Linked DNA regions of Mus musculus: all the other regions are reported to be linked to region 3. The links are microRNA targets in miRTarBase. Many come from high-throughput screens and were not tested one by one. Region 3 holds a microRNA gene; each other region holds the end of a gene's coding sequence.

What was found. The annotated mature microRNA mmu-miR-669n reads AUUUGUGUGUGGAUGUGUGU and lies in region 3 at 1,798-1,817, shown strand. An mRNA with a match to its seed (bases 2 to 7 or 8) in the 3' UTR can be bound and repressed. Matches are read on the target gene's strand: a 7mer-m8 pairs with bases 2 to 8, a 7mer-A1 pairs with bases 2 to 7 and ends in A, and an 8mer does both.
Region 1: the mRNA of Gcm1 is a reported target of mmu-miR-669n. Seed matches in the 3' UTR shown: 7mer-A1 at 771-777.
Region 2: miRTarBase lists Txndc9 as a target of mmu-miR-669n. Seed matches in the 3' UTR shown: 7mer-A1 at 2,876-2,882 and 7mer-m8 at 2,740-2,746.

Annotation. Positions count from the first base shown.
Region 1 is chr9:78,064,663-78,068,907 of GRCm38, forward strand. It overlaps Gcm1 (glial cells missing homolog 1), which reads left to right. Exons shown (of 6, transcript NM_008103.3): 6 at 1-962. The coding sequence ends at 427. It also overlaps the pseudogene Gm8058. Among named protein-coding and RNA genes, the nearest start is that of Gcm1, 15 kb to the left of the region's middle.
Region 2 is chr1:37,983,994-37,988,238 of GRCm38, forward strand. Txndc9 (thioredoxin domain containing 9) reads right to left here. Exons shown (of 5, transcript NM_172054.4): 5 at 1-3,786. The coding sequence ends at 3,669. Among named protein-coding and RNA genes, the nearest start is that of Txndc9, 11 kb to the right of the region's middle.
Region 3 is chr3:115,978,108-115,982,352 of GRCm38, forward strand. It overlaps Mir669n (microRNA 669n), which reads left to right and starts at 1,795; the gene lies at 1,795-1,848. Slc30a7 (solute carrier family 30 (zinc transporter), member 7) reads right to left here. Exons shown (of 11, transcript NM_023214.7): 7 at 3,655-3,705; 8 at 537-672.

The DNA.
Region 1 (4,245 bases), not on the chromosome of region 3:
AACTTGGAATAAAAATGTTGCCTTAGGGAGAAATCCCTCCGATGACATCTACTATCCAGCCTATCCTCTGCCTGTGGCCAGCTGGCCCTACGACTACTTTCCCTCCCAGAACTCTTTGGAGCACTTACCCCAGCAAGTTCCATCAGAACCCCCTGCAGCTCAACCAGGCTGTCATCCCTTGTGGTCCAATCCGGGAGGTGAGCCTTACGAAGAGAAAGTATCTGTGGATCTGAGCAGCTATGTGCCCTCCCTCACGTACCACCCACCTCAGCAGGATCCCTTCCTGCTCACCTATGGCTCTCCTACTCAGCAGCAACATGCACTGCCCGGCAAGAGCAACAGGTGGGATTTTGACGAAGAGATGGCATGCATGGGCTTAGATCACTTCAACAATGAGATGCTCCTAAACTTCTGTTCTTTAAGATAACTCAAAGCTCCCCTTCTCTCTCCCAGTCGTGATTTGTTAAAGGGCTTGGCAGAATTTTCTTAGAAGACGGGTTTCAAAGCATAGCCTGAGAGGAATGTTGGAATCAATTGTGACAAGCAGTAGACAAGGTCTTCTCACTCAAGCTGTTGACAATGCCAGTGTGTTTACCCTCCATAAGGAATAGAAAGTCACCGTGCCAGGTGTAATGTCACAAGTCTCTAATCCCGGCACTCAGGAGACAGAGGCAGTTGGATATTTGTGAGTTCAAGGCCAGCCGAGTTTACATACTGAGTTCCAGGAGAGCCAGGACTATGTAGAGAGACCCTGTCTCAACACCTCCCCCCACAAAAGAAGAAGAAGAAGAAGAAGAAGAAGAAGAAGAAGAAGAAGAAGAAGAAGAAGAAGAAGAGGAAGAGGAAGAGGAAGAGGAAGAGGAAGAGGAAGAGGAAGAGGAAGAGGAAGAGGAAGAGGAAGAGGAAGAGGAAGAGGAGGAGAAGGAGGAGGAGGAGGAAAAGGAGGAGGAGGAGAAAGAAGAGAAAGAAAGGAAAAGGAAAAAAGTTTGTTTGTTTGTTTGTTTGTTTTTTAAAAAGCACTTGGTTTTGGGGCAAAATGTTCTCTGATGCCTCTGACCAAGATTCCTCTGATCTGACCCCTCAGCAGGGCGGTCTGAAGGGGCCTTATTGTGGCTTATGCATGTAAACTTAGCATTTCATCTATGCCTTTTGGGAGCTGAAAATGAAGGAACAGAAAGAAGACTGAAGAGCTGTGGACGTGTGAAGTTGAATACTTTACCAAAGAAGTGTTTAAAATTTTGTTTAGTTTTTGGTTTTTTTGTTTTTTTAAGATGGGTTTTCTAGATTTGTGACTTGTTAAAAACAAGAGGCTCAACCTCATCCTATTTATAAAGAACAGAAAACAAACGGACATAGGAAAAGAGTGGGATCCACCTCTCCTTTTTCTCCTAAGTGACTTCTCCTTCCACAAGGGCTAAGATGCTGTTCTATTCATTGTTATCTCTCCATGTCATGCTCATCTATGAGGAATTCTTGTTTAAGAGTCTTTGTGATGGGTTGGGGGCAGAGCTCAATGGCTGAGAGTATTGCTTAGGATGTAGAGGTTCAATCCTCAGTAACAATTTCAATAGCAAAGCTTTGTTGGGCATAGCAGTGCACACCTGTAATCCCAGAACTCAGGAGGTGGAGGCAGTAAGTTTGATCGTAAGTTTGAGGGCAGCCCAGGTGACATAGTGAGACCCTCTCTCAAACAAACTTAAAATATTCTTTGTGGCCCCTAAGAGGCATGGCTGCACGGTGGAACATAAACTCAGCCTGTGGTGCTGAGCTGGACTTTCGCCTCAGTACCAAAAACCCAAACAGCTAAATAAGGAGCGTCTGTTCCTTAGCTAGCTACTCAGTGCCTATTCTCTGCTGAAGTTCTTTGCAGCAAAGTAGTCCAGCACAAAATCTGGAATGAACCTTGCCATAAGCAAGTGTTTTCAAAATAATCTTTGCCATTTGATTCTAAACTAATGTGTATGATTCAAAAAATAGATGATGTCTCTTGTTGCTCTGCCCCTCTGCAATGCCTAAGCGTCCTTGTCTACTCTACAGATTGATAACATTTTCTAGAGATATATATTGTTATACATAAGATATTAAATATATTGTTTTCTATGTGTATTATGTCTGTGTGTGGTTTTATATCTGGTACTGTATCTAACTTGGCTTTTGCCATTTTAGGTTACAATCAAACACTGGACCCTTATAAGCATATGGAAGCTGAGTGGTTTCATTTCCAATGGCACATAGTGATTAGTATTATAATTAGATAGCCCCCATTCATAGGCATTCACATTGTTTGAATCTAGTAAAAGTTTTGTTGTAAATGCAGAAAAAAAAATGGATACTTAATTTAGTAGAGTTACGCTGCAAATGCTTGTATATGCACAGGCAGGCCGGAATCTAGAACTCCTTCCAAAGCTCCCGTGACTGCAGGCCCAATCCCACTCCACCCCAAGGCCCTTCCTTCTCAAAACTGATCTCTAGGCTGGCTCTTGGTATCTTTGCTAAGTTTACGTGTGCTTCCACACAACAGCTCAGTTTTGTCTTTTGGAGGGAACTAACAAACCATTTGATGCATGTTCAAGGGTTGTGAAGGAAGCCAGTGAGATGGATACTTGCCACCAGGCCTGATGACTTCAGTTCCATCCTTGGAACCCACATGACAGAGAGAGAATTAACTCTATCATGTTATCCTCTGGCCTCTACACACTCAGGCTTGGGTGCATAAACACACACAATAGATGTGAAAAGAAATTGTTGAAATCTAGCAGCCGTAAAGAAGAACTCAAGAATCATAGTGCATAGCTCAGCAAATGAAATAGCCCAGTCTGTCTGCCATGTTGCTGGTGTACATTCTTTGGGGGAAACAACATACTTTTCAGATTTGACACGGTTTGTTTGACATCTACAGATGCTTACAAACAATGTCCTTCCCTCGGGGCCTTACTGAAAATCACCTAGACTGTGGGATGGAACTATGGGTTTGGTGGAGTTTCTGACACCTAGAAGGTTCTAATTGCATTGAATGGAAAATAAGAAGAACCAATAGCTGCTAGTTAATTTCTATTGGTTTTGGATTCTTTTAGGATTTCAAACCTTTTTCTCTACTAGACTGAAGCACCCCTTCATTTCAAACATTTTGCTTAAAAACAAACAAACAAACATAATCTTGGGGCTGGAGAAATGGCTTGGTGGTTAAGAGTACCGGCTGCTCTTCCAGAGGTCCTCAGTTCAATTCCTGGCATCCACAGGGTGGCTCACAGCCAACTGTCGTAGGATCTGATACACTCTTCTGGTGTGTCAGAAGACAGCAACAGGGGGCTGGTGAGATGGCTCAGTGGGTAAGAGCACCCGACTGCTCTTCCGAAGGTCCAGAGTTCAAATCCCAGAAACCACATGGTGACTCACAACCATCCGTAACAAGATCTGACTCCCTCTTCTGGTGTGTCTGAAGACAGCTACAGTGTACTTACATATAATAATAAATAAATCTTTAAAAAAAAAAAAAAGAAGACAGCAACAGTGTACTCATATGAGTAAAATAAATATTTAAAAAAAGCCATAATCTTGATATTTATCAAAGCAAAAACATGATTGACTACCATCTTTACTACTAAGTCTGATTCCCAACCTTCCAAAAGGCTTCTACTTCTAAACACTCATATATTTCTCACAATTAGTTCTAGATTTCCAAATAATAAGATCACACGTCTGTGTTTTCATTTTATATGTTTGTGATATTCTGACCACAGATTAAGATCTAAGATTTACATAATGGTACCAGTCCCATCTTCATCATCTTAACTGTATAGTTTAATGGATTTTTATCCATAGTCTACTTGATCATTTTGTGTAATGAAACTCAACCAAAATCAAAATATAGAAAACTGCCATTTCCCTAAAAATTTCTGCTGGCATGGGATTACAGAAGAGGTGGAGAGATGCCCAGCAGTTAAGAGTATATACTGTTCTTACAGAGGACCCAAGTTTAATTCCCAGCACCCACATCAGGTGGTTTGCAACCCATATATCTCTAGTTCTAGGGGATCTTACACACTCTTCTGGTCTATACCACACTCACATGCACACAGACATGAACATAATTTTAAAATCCTCTTAAAAAGCTGTTAGGGTCTCTATTCCTGCAGTGATAGCCTTGCCTCTTAGACATGATGGTGAAGGTCGGAATGAATGGACGTGAAGGCCATTCCCATCTTCCAGGAGTGAGATCCCGAGAGTGTCAAATCAGGTGATGCT
Region 2 (4,245 bases), not on the chromosome of region 3:
GATGTGGGTGCTGGGAGCCAGAGCAGAGTCCTTTGCAAGAGCTCTGAGCACTCTTAACCACTGAGCCATTTCCTCAGGCCCATGGGGCATAACATTGATTGATTGATTGACTTTATTTTTGCTTAAACCTCCCTTTCCTCAGGCAAAACCAACTGCGCTATGACATTTGATCTTAGTATCTCTTCAATATGATTTTGTATGCATTTTATGGAGAACGTTTCTATGTACATCAAGTGAAGTGACCTGTAACTTCTTTTGTTGTTGTGTTCTTAACCAGTTTTGGTATCGGGGCCTTGGGGGATTAAGGAAACTTGTGTGTATGCATGTTCTTCTGTGTGGACATGGTGAGTATGTGCCTGGAGTATAGAGGACAACCATTGGGTTTTGGCCTTTCCTTTTCTACCTTGTGTGAGGAAGGGGTTCTTCACCAGTGTGTGCAAGCTAGCTGGAAGAGTCCTCTGTCTGCTTCTGATCCTAGGGGTACACTGAGATTACTGATCAGTGCAGAAGGTCAGGGCATCAGACTCAGGTTGTCAGGCATGGCAACATGCAGCTTTACCCACTGGGCCAACCTTGATGACCTGAGTTCAACCCTTAGAACTCACAGAGTGGGGGGGGGTTGGAGAGATGGCTGAGTGGTTAAGCATACTGACTGCTCTTTCAGAGGTCCTGACTTCAATTCCTAGCAACCGCATAGTGGCTCACAACCATCTGTAATGGGTGCCCTCTTCTGGGTGTATCTGAAGAGAGCAACAGTGTACTTGTATACATTAAAAAAGAACTCACATAGTGGAGTTGTCTTCTGACCTCTACACATGCACACATGTGTATATACACACATGTACACAAACATAAAAACTGTTAATTCTACGCTGCTTCCTTTTCTGCTGACATAAATCTTCCACCTTTTAAAAATAATGAATATAAAGTTACATTCTTGATAATCATATTATTTTGCTTGCACCCACACCCCATACATCTGTTGTTTCTCTGATAAAATTGGCACATCTTTGGTTTGGTTCTCTCCTGGTTTTACTTGCAAATCTTAGTAAGCAACTCGCTCTTGGGGCTCAGTCCCTACTACTGCCCTGTACTGAGAAAGGGAGCTACTGTAGTGGCAACAGCCACAGATAGAAATACACCTAAAATAAAGTCCATTAGTACACCACCCGTGACCATCAAACAGAGAACGGGAGCATGTACTATAGAATTTTATAAATTAAGAATTATTTAGGGTCAATGTAGCATTAGCAAATGAATGAGATAAAAAAGAAGGGAAATAGAGAAATAATAGTAAATGAACCAAAAGTTAAAGAGAAGTGGTAGAGAAGAATGTCGTGGAAGGGAAAAGAGAGAGTAGAATAGAAAAAATACATAAAAATACATAATAAAAATTCCAGATTTTTAAATAATTAAATTAAAACTCAAAATTAGATAAATGTTAAGAAGGGGAGTTCAGCACTGCCTTTTAGTTCACAAGTTCCGGAGGCAGATCTCTAGTTCAAGGCCAGCCTGGCCTACAGAGGGCAATGTAGAAAGTCCCCGTCCCAACCTTCCCCCTCAAGTAAAGAACAAAATAGAAACATGAGATTTTTAAAACAAAAAAGTAAAGACTATCCCCAGTAAGACAAAGTTAAATACTGCTGAAAGTCTAGTTGAGAGGAACAAAAGAAAAAAATACCGCCAGATAGTGGAAAAAAATGCATAACCAAAATGAAGTATTTCATGATGAGATGAGTAACACCAGGATAAAAGAATCGCTATGAGTTGAACAAAAGTTAAATACAAGGGTAGGCCAGAAGGTCAAAGAAAGAAGGGCAAGGGGAGTCTCAGGGGCTGATGTGATGGTGAAGGCTGTTGAACCAGGGCTCTTTTCTAAGGTTAAGCCCTGTTTGGCAAGTGTCAGATTCCCACAGGACCTGGCTCCACTTGAATAGCTTCCCACCTTTATGTAGTAGCGTCCTCTACTGGCCGCACTTAGCTCTGCAGCCTATGGGCTTTCATTCTTGGACTGGATCCCCAGAAGTGGCTGATAGGCTGCTGTGGTGGTCTCCCAAGTGCACTGGGAGTGTGGGAGCAACCGAGACATCACATTGTCTCTGCTTTTGTCTTGCTGGAAGAATGTAGCTATGGGAGCTTGCCTGCTGGTGCTGCAGTCTTCAGGATCTGTGGCCGTACCGCTACCTAGATAACATCACCAGCCGGTCCACCCGATGACCTCAGGAGTAGGGCTACAGGCACGTTTATTCTTGATGTAATCTGGTCCTGGCATCCAGGGCAGGGTTTTTCCCTGTGCACTGTACTGCCCTAACTTGTCTCTTGCACGTAGCCCTCCCACTCTCCATAACCATCTCCTAGGTTGTCTGTTGGATGGCTGTTCTCCATTCTCAGACTCCAAGTGTGGCTCAGTTCCCTCTCAAGGTGGTGCCTGGATCCTGCCTTCTCAGTCGCAGTAACACAAATGGGATTCCTCTCTACTGCAAACTCGTCTGGAGGAAACAGCCTCGTCAAAGCCCACATCTGGTGGGCTTCTTGGAAGGTGGGTGTGTCAATTCACCAGAACAGCCTGGCTTACCTGAAGGAACCCCTCACCACTGAGCACTGCTGTGCTTGGTGGCCTTGGAGGTCAGAAGGCATCAGAGTCCTAGAATGGGAGCTAGTGGATGGCTGTGTGCCACCATGTAGGTGCCAGGAAGCCATCTCAAGTGCTCTTAACTGCCGAGCCTTCTCTCCAGCCCCTTTGTGTTGTTTTAGACTGCTCTCAAACCCCAAGACCCCTGTAGTTCAACTCATTTGTATTTCCTGTATTGTGTATGTTAAACGACATCTTGCAGGAATCTTTTCTTTCCTTCCACCAGTGGGCCCAGTCCCCAAGTTTTGTGGTAAGTGCCTTTCTCCATTGAGCCATCTCAGTAGTTGATGCTATACTCTTTTCTTACCAAGGCTTATTTATTTCTGGGCATCAGATTATTTCTGTTCATGCTAAGCACATGGCCTATATTTTTTTTAAAATGTTTTTGTTTGCTATATGATCTCATAGTTTCCAGACTCACACTTTTAGAAATTTCACCTTTGCTAAAGTTGTTTTACTGAGCAGCCAATGGAGTTCCTTATGTTACCACTCAAAAACGGTTTAATTATATTTTTGCAGGTCTCATAATGTGCGTGTGCAATGAGGACTATTTAAATAAGGCGATGTGCTCACACCCTGGGTTTCCTGCCGCTATCATCAGCAGAGTCACCATGAGTGAGTCTTTAACAGTTCCTGAAACCCATTCCACGAAGCGGATCACGGACAAGGAAGTGCATGTGGTGCCCAGTGGATGGTCACTCATTGGCTCTTACAATAGTGGGCAAATTCCTATCTCTAACTCAGGAGATTAAAAACAGACATGTGAATGGTTTGAAGATAGAAGAATCACGTTATGATAAAATCAATCACAAAAATAGAGAATTCAGACCCTCCCAGGTAATTTAAAGTATGTTTCTCTCAAGTTATACACAATGACTGCAGACAAAATGGTCAAACAGTGTACAGGCTGGGATAAGAGTGTCAGATGGTCAATGGGCCGAAATCAGTGGAATTTAGGAATTTAGAAAACACACTTAACTCTGAAGTAGACAGACAGACAGACAGACAGACGGAAGGTTTTAAAGTACAGCACAGTCTAGTCATCATCAGAATCGGAATCGTATTTCTTTCCTCGGATAGTTTTCTTTTCCAGCTTTGTAAAGTTTGTCCCAAATTTCTTTTGGCTCTGAAATGGTGGCTCCATTAAATTTCCACTAAAAGTAAAACAAAGGTTAAGAGCATTTTATTCTTTATGATTTAATATACCCAGGATGCTAGACTATAAAAAGCATAATATTAAGTTACCAGTTTCATATACTATCTGTGTTAGATCAACGTTTGAGTTTCTTGGTTATCATGATCATTATTATAAGTATCTTTGTGGTGATGGAGATGACACCCCGGCCCTCTGCATGCTGGGGCAGAGAGAAAAGCAAGTCTTGGGCGCACTGACCCTGTGCTGAATCCATGCCAATGACAGGCAACACTGTGTGTTTGAGTTCCGACTGAACTCACGACTCTTCCTGTGTGGCACCTCACTGTTTACATTTCTACACACATTGACAGACTCATGGGATGAACTATTATCAGCCTGGAATCAGCATAAATCAATGATGCTAGAGAAGTAAGTGACCAGAGGGTTATGTGTGTGTGTGAGTATTATAATTCCAGCT
Region 3 (4,245 bases):
AAAATAAAAATGAAGCCAACAATAAAGTGTGTTTTAGGACAAAGGATTTTAGAAGATAATATTAACTACACAATGCACTGCAGCAAGTGGTCGTTGCAGATGGACCTCCCTACAGTCTTCATAGACCACCAGCTCCGTGGCTGGTGAGCAAGCGAAAAGACCAATGAAATGGCAGAATTAAAGATGGGTCTGGCAGGGGCAACACTGATACCAGGGTTTGACATTGTCAGTTCTAGATATAAACTAAAATCGTCTAGTTAATGACTTTACATTGCCAAGATTTTATTCTATACATACAGTGTATGGTTTAAGATTTGAATTATGATCAACTACTTAAATGTCAAAAATCAAAAAGAAATGTTAAAACTCCAGGCAAGATATAAATGGGAAAAGCTATAAGGAGAACTTGGATAGGACTTGTTTTAAAGAGCAAAGGGAACCCCACATGATAATCTGCACTGAAGGTGCCCAGCCACTGGTTCTGTTGTCACCTCCCTCTCACTTAGTAACAGATGGTAGCAGTCTGAACCACTTACCTTACAACTATAAGAATGGCTATAAGAATCGAACAGATAGGATCTGCTATCATCAACCCAAAATTTTGCATCATGATGGCAGAGGCAATTACACCAATACTTCCCAGTGTATCGGCTAGAATGTGTAAAAATACACCTAGAAAGAAAGCATAGGAGAGATTAGAATACTCAAGTGGGAATATTTCTCAGGACTATACTTAAAATATCTTACATATCAAGGAAAAAAAATCAGTCAGGAGAAGTACAGTAGTAACTGTGTAGCAGAATATTTATAAACTGACATAACTGTTTTCATACTGACCAGTTTAAACATCTAACTGGTAAATTATGCTCAATCTTAACAGAACAGTGAAAGTGAAGGAGTTAAAAAAAAAGAAAAAGAAAGTGAAGGAGTAGAGAAAATTAGTTTTAAATGCTGTCTGTGAACATTCACTCTTACTTTAAAAAAGGTTAAATAATTTGTTCTGGAAAGAAAAGAGCATCAGGTTTTAAAAAAAAAAGATGAAGAAAGCAATTTAATTTTGAATACATGAACACATAGAGCCCTCTGCTGGTGATTTAAAATACTGCTTAAGGAATAAAATTTTATATGAACCCTAACTCGACTTAACCTGACATTAATTATCCAAAACATGCCACTACCTAAATTTGTTATTATCCTCAAATACACCAAGCAAAAAAGCAGTTACCTGACTAGGACAAGAAAATACATGTTGAACCTTTGAAATTAAGTACTAAGTAGGACATAGTAGACTATTAAGGACTATATAGGACTATTAAGATTCATAAGTGATATTGGCCTGGAAAACCATAAAAATCTCAAGAAAGAAATTATATATGCAACTCTTTTTGAAACTACCTAAGACAGTAACTCACTCAATATGTAGATCTTTAATAAATAAAATTTATCACACAGCAAAGCAATCTATAAACATAGGTACCAATAAAAACAAAAACAAAGAAAAGCCATAAACCACCGGCCTTCAGCACAGCTGCCCTGCAGGGCACTGGTTAAGATGGCAGACATGCGACCAGCTTAGAAATTCACGTCACATTCCCTGAACGATCAAAGGTAAATGTGTGCCAATTAAAACTGAAGGAAACTTTGTAGCAGCTTAAAATTTGAGCACTACTGAGTCACAGTAAATCTTAACGTTTGCTGGGAAAAGACACTTCCCCTGCCACCGTGTGACTTAGAGCAGGGCGCAGCAAAGGGCACTCGGGCCTTTCACTCTGTGCAGACCACTCTGCAGATCTTTACATTTGTGTGTGGATGTGTGTGTAAATGTATGTGCATCCCACAGCACATGTGCAGAGGGCATTGGCTTACTCCTTCTACCACGTGGAGCCTGAAGACTGAACCCAGGCTGTCAGGTTTGGCTGCATGTGTCCTTATACAGGTACCTCACCAGCCCTGAGTTGTTCTGTAACAAATGGTATTCATTTGGGCAGATAAAAATGAAATGTGTATTTCCACTGGTAAATACTTGTAAATAACCAACTTCTCTATTGTACTTTAAATACCAAAGAATAATATATATATATACATATATATGTATCAAAAACACTTTGGTTTCAAAAACTAAAAAAAAATGAAAAAGATGGATATAAATCAATACAATTGAAATCCCTACATTACAAACTCCTAAATGTAATAACATAGTTTTAAGTTTCTATATTCTCCAATTAGTGTTTTGGTACGAACAGAAATAAAAATGAAAAAAAAATGGTGAAAATAATCTGTTATTCATTTTTCTGATGCTGGAAAGTCCCTGCCTCCATGTAATCCTAACCAGAAAGTGGGTCTCATTAGCACACATCATTACTCTTTTATAGTAACTATTCATGAAGAAAAATCTCTGAGGAAATACATAAAGTCTGTTTAAGTCACATAAGATCGAGACCCTCCAACATTGCAACACACCAATGGTCTAACGTATCTAAAACCTGGCTCACTAAGCTGAAGATGCGCCAACAACTGAAAGCCACATTAGCTGGAGGGGCTCATGTGCTGAGTGTCCGAAGAGCTCTTGGGTAGCAGAGCTTTTACATCAGGCAGTCACAGCTGCCCAGCAGCTTCCTCCAGGCCCTCTTGAGACCAACAAACTCATGTAGTTCAGAAATAGGAATAAAAGGGTACATCGAGCTTTTCTTCCTGCCATTTATGATGATTTTTCATAACTAAATACAAATTATTATCAAAGCCAATGATAGCACTTCATACGGCTATGTCAAAAATGTACAAAGACGCTTTTAAAAGCAATGCCATATATTTTGAAAATGGAAACCTGGTGACAGAAGGCAGCCTAAGCCTTCAGTATAGTGATCTCTTCAGTAATGGAGAAACACAAGAAGCAAGAACTCAACCCAGAAGCAGTAGAACAAAACACATGCAGGAGAGGCTAGATCTGGAGCCACTGAGAAAACCAGACCAACGTCGGCTTTAAAAAGCTAGGAGCAGGGAGGTTAGAACTTAAAAGCTTTGACAATACAGTCTAGGGGAAACTGTGAAAGACTGGGTTATAACCCAGAGGAAAGTACCAGAGTTCAGAGACAGAGTTTTCTCTAGCTGCTGTCACTTACGGAACACTAAGCTCCTGTTTAGGTATCAGTAATTGATGCTTTCACAGATGAGAAAGGTCTCACTGGACTTCATTCTTAGCTCTACAATTTAAGAACATATTGAACGTTACTCTTGGAAAAACTGTCATAATCTAAGGAAGCAGACAGGCTACCCTGAACTCACGACTGTAATAATCCAGGGAAGCAGACAGGCTACCCTGAACTCATGACTGTAATAATCCAGGGAAGCGAACACGCTACCTTGGACTCACGATAGTCAGGCCAGTACTTACCTTCAGCCGGGGTTGTCAATTTCTTGTATTTTTAAAATTAAATCTGAGAAAATAGACAAGTGGCAAAATATCGCTAATATACCTAACACAAAGTATAAGTGTGCATGTGTGAGTGAGTGTATGTGCGCGCACGCATTTATTAGGAAGGATAACACTTACAATACTGTTACCATCTACAGATATTTCCTTAAAAGAGAACTCCAGGCAACTTTACCATGAAGCCAGCTTCATGAAATTAAGAAAGCCACAACTGCTTGTCATACCTTGTAAAATCTGTCTGCTGGGTCCTGCCGTTGCTTTGAAGGATGGGCCATCTGTAGAGAATTAGTTAGATTATTTTAAAACATCTCTTCAATTCCTGATCCAAATGTTTGCAACTCAGAGTTCTTTTTGCTCAACTGTATGATGGAACTATGAGCACACAGTCATATTAGACTTACACAATTATTTTTTTAAATTTAATCAAGTAATTAAATATAGGTGAACTTAGTGAGGGCAATATTGAAATGTAACAAGGATATAGAATATTCTAGAAATTATTGTACTAGAAATAAAACTCACAAGAAGTTAAAAATGTGAAAAATCTACCAATATTGTACTAACGAAATACCTCCTAGTACTTTCATAACTGGAAACCTCACAGAGAATGAAATTACTACGTGGACTTTGATGAGGTCTGTGAACGGAAGCCGGGACTGACAGCAGGTTGCTGTGGAACTACAGCTTTTAGAGACTACTTTCTACAGAGAAGACAGCCACTTCACTAAAATCCTGCCTTTTATGATGAAGGGACATCCTTAGTTTTGTGGGACAAGGACAGTAAGAGGTGTAAAGGGGAGTCGGCCTGAGCCTAG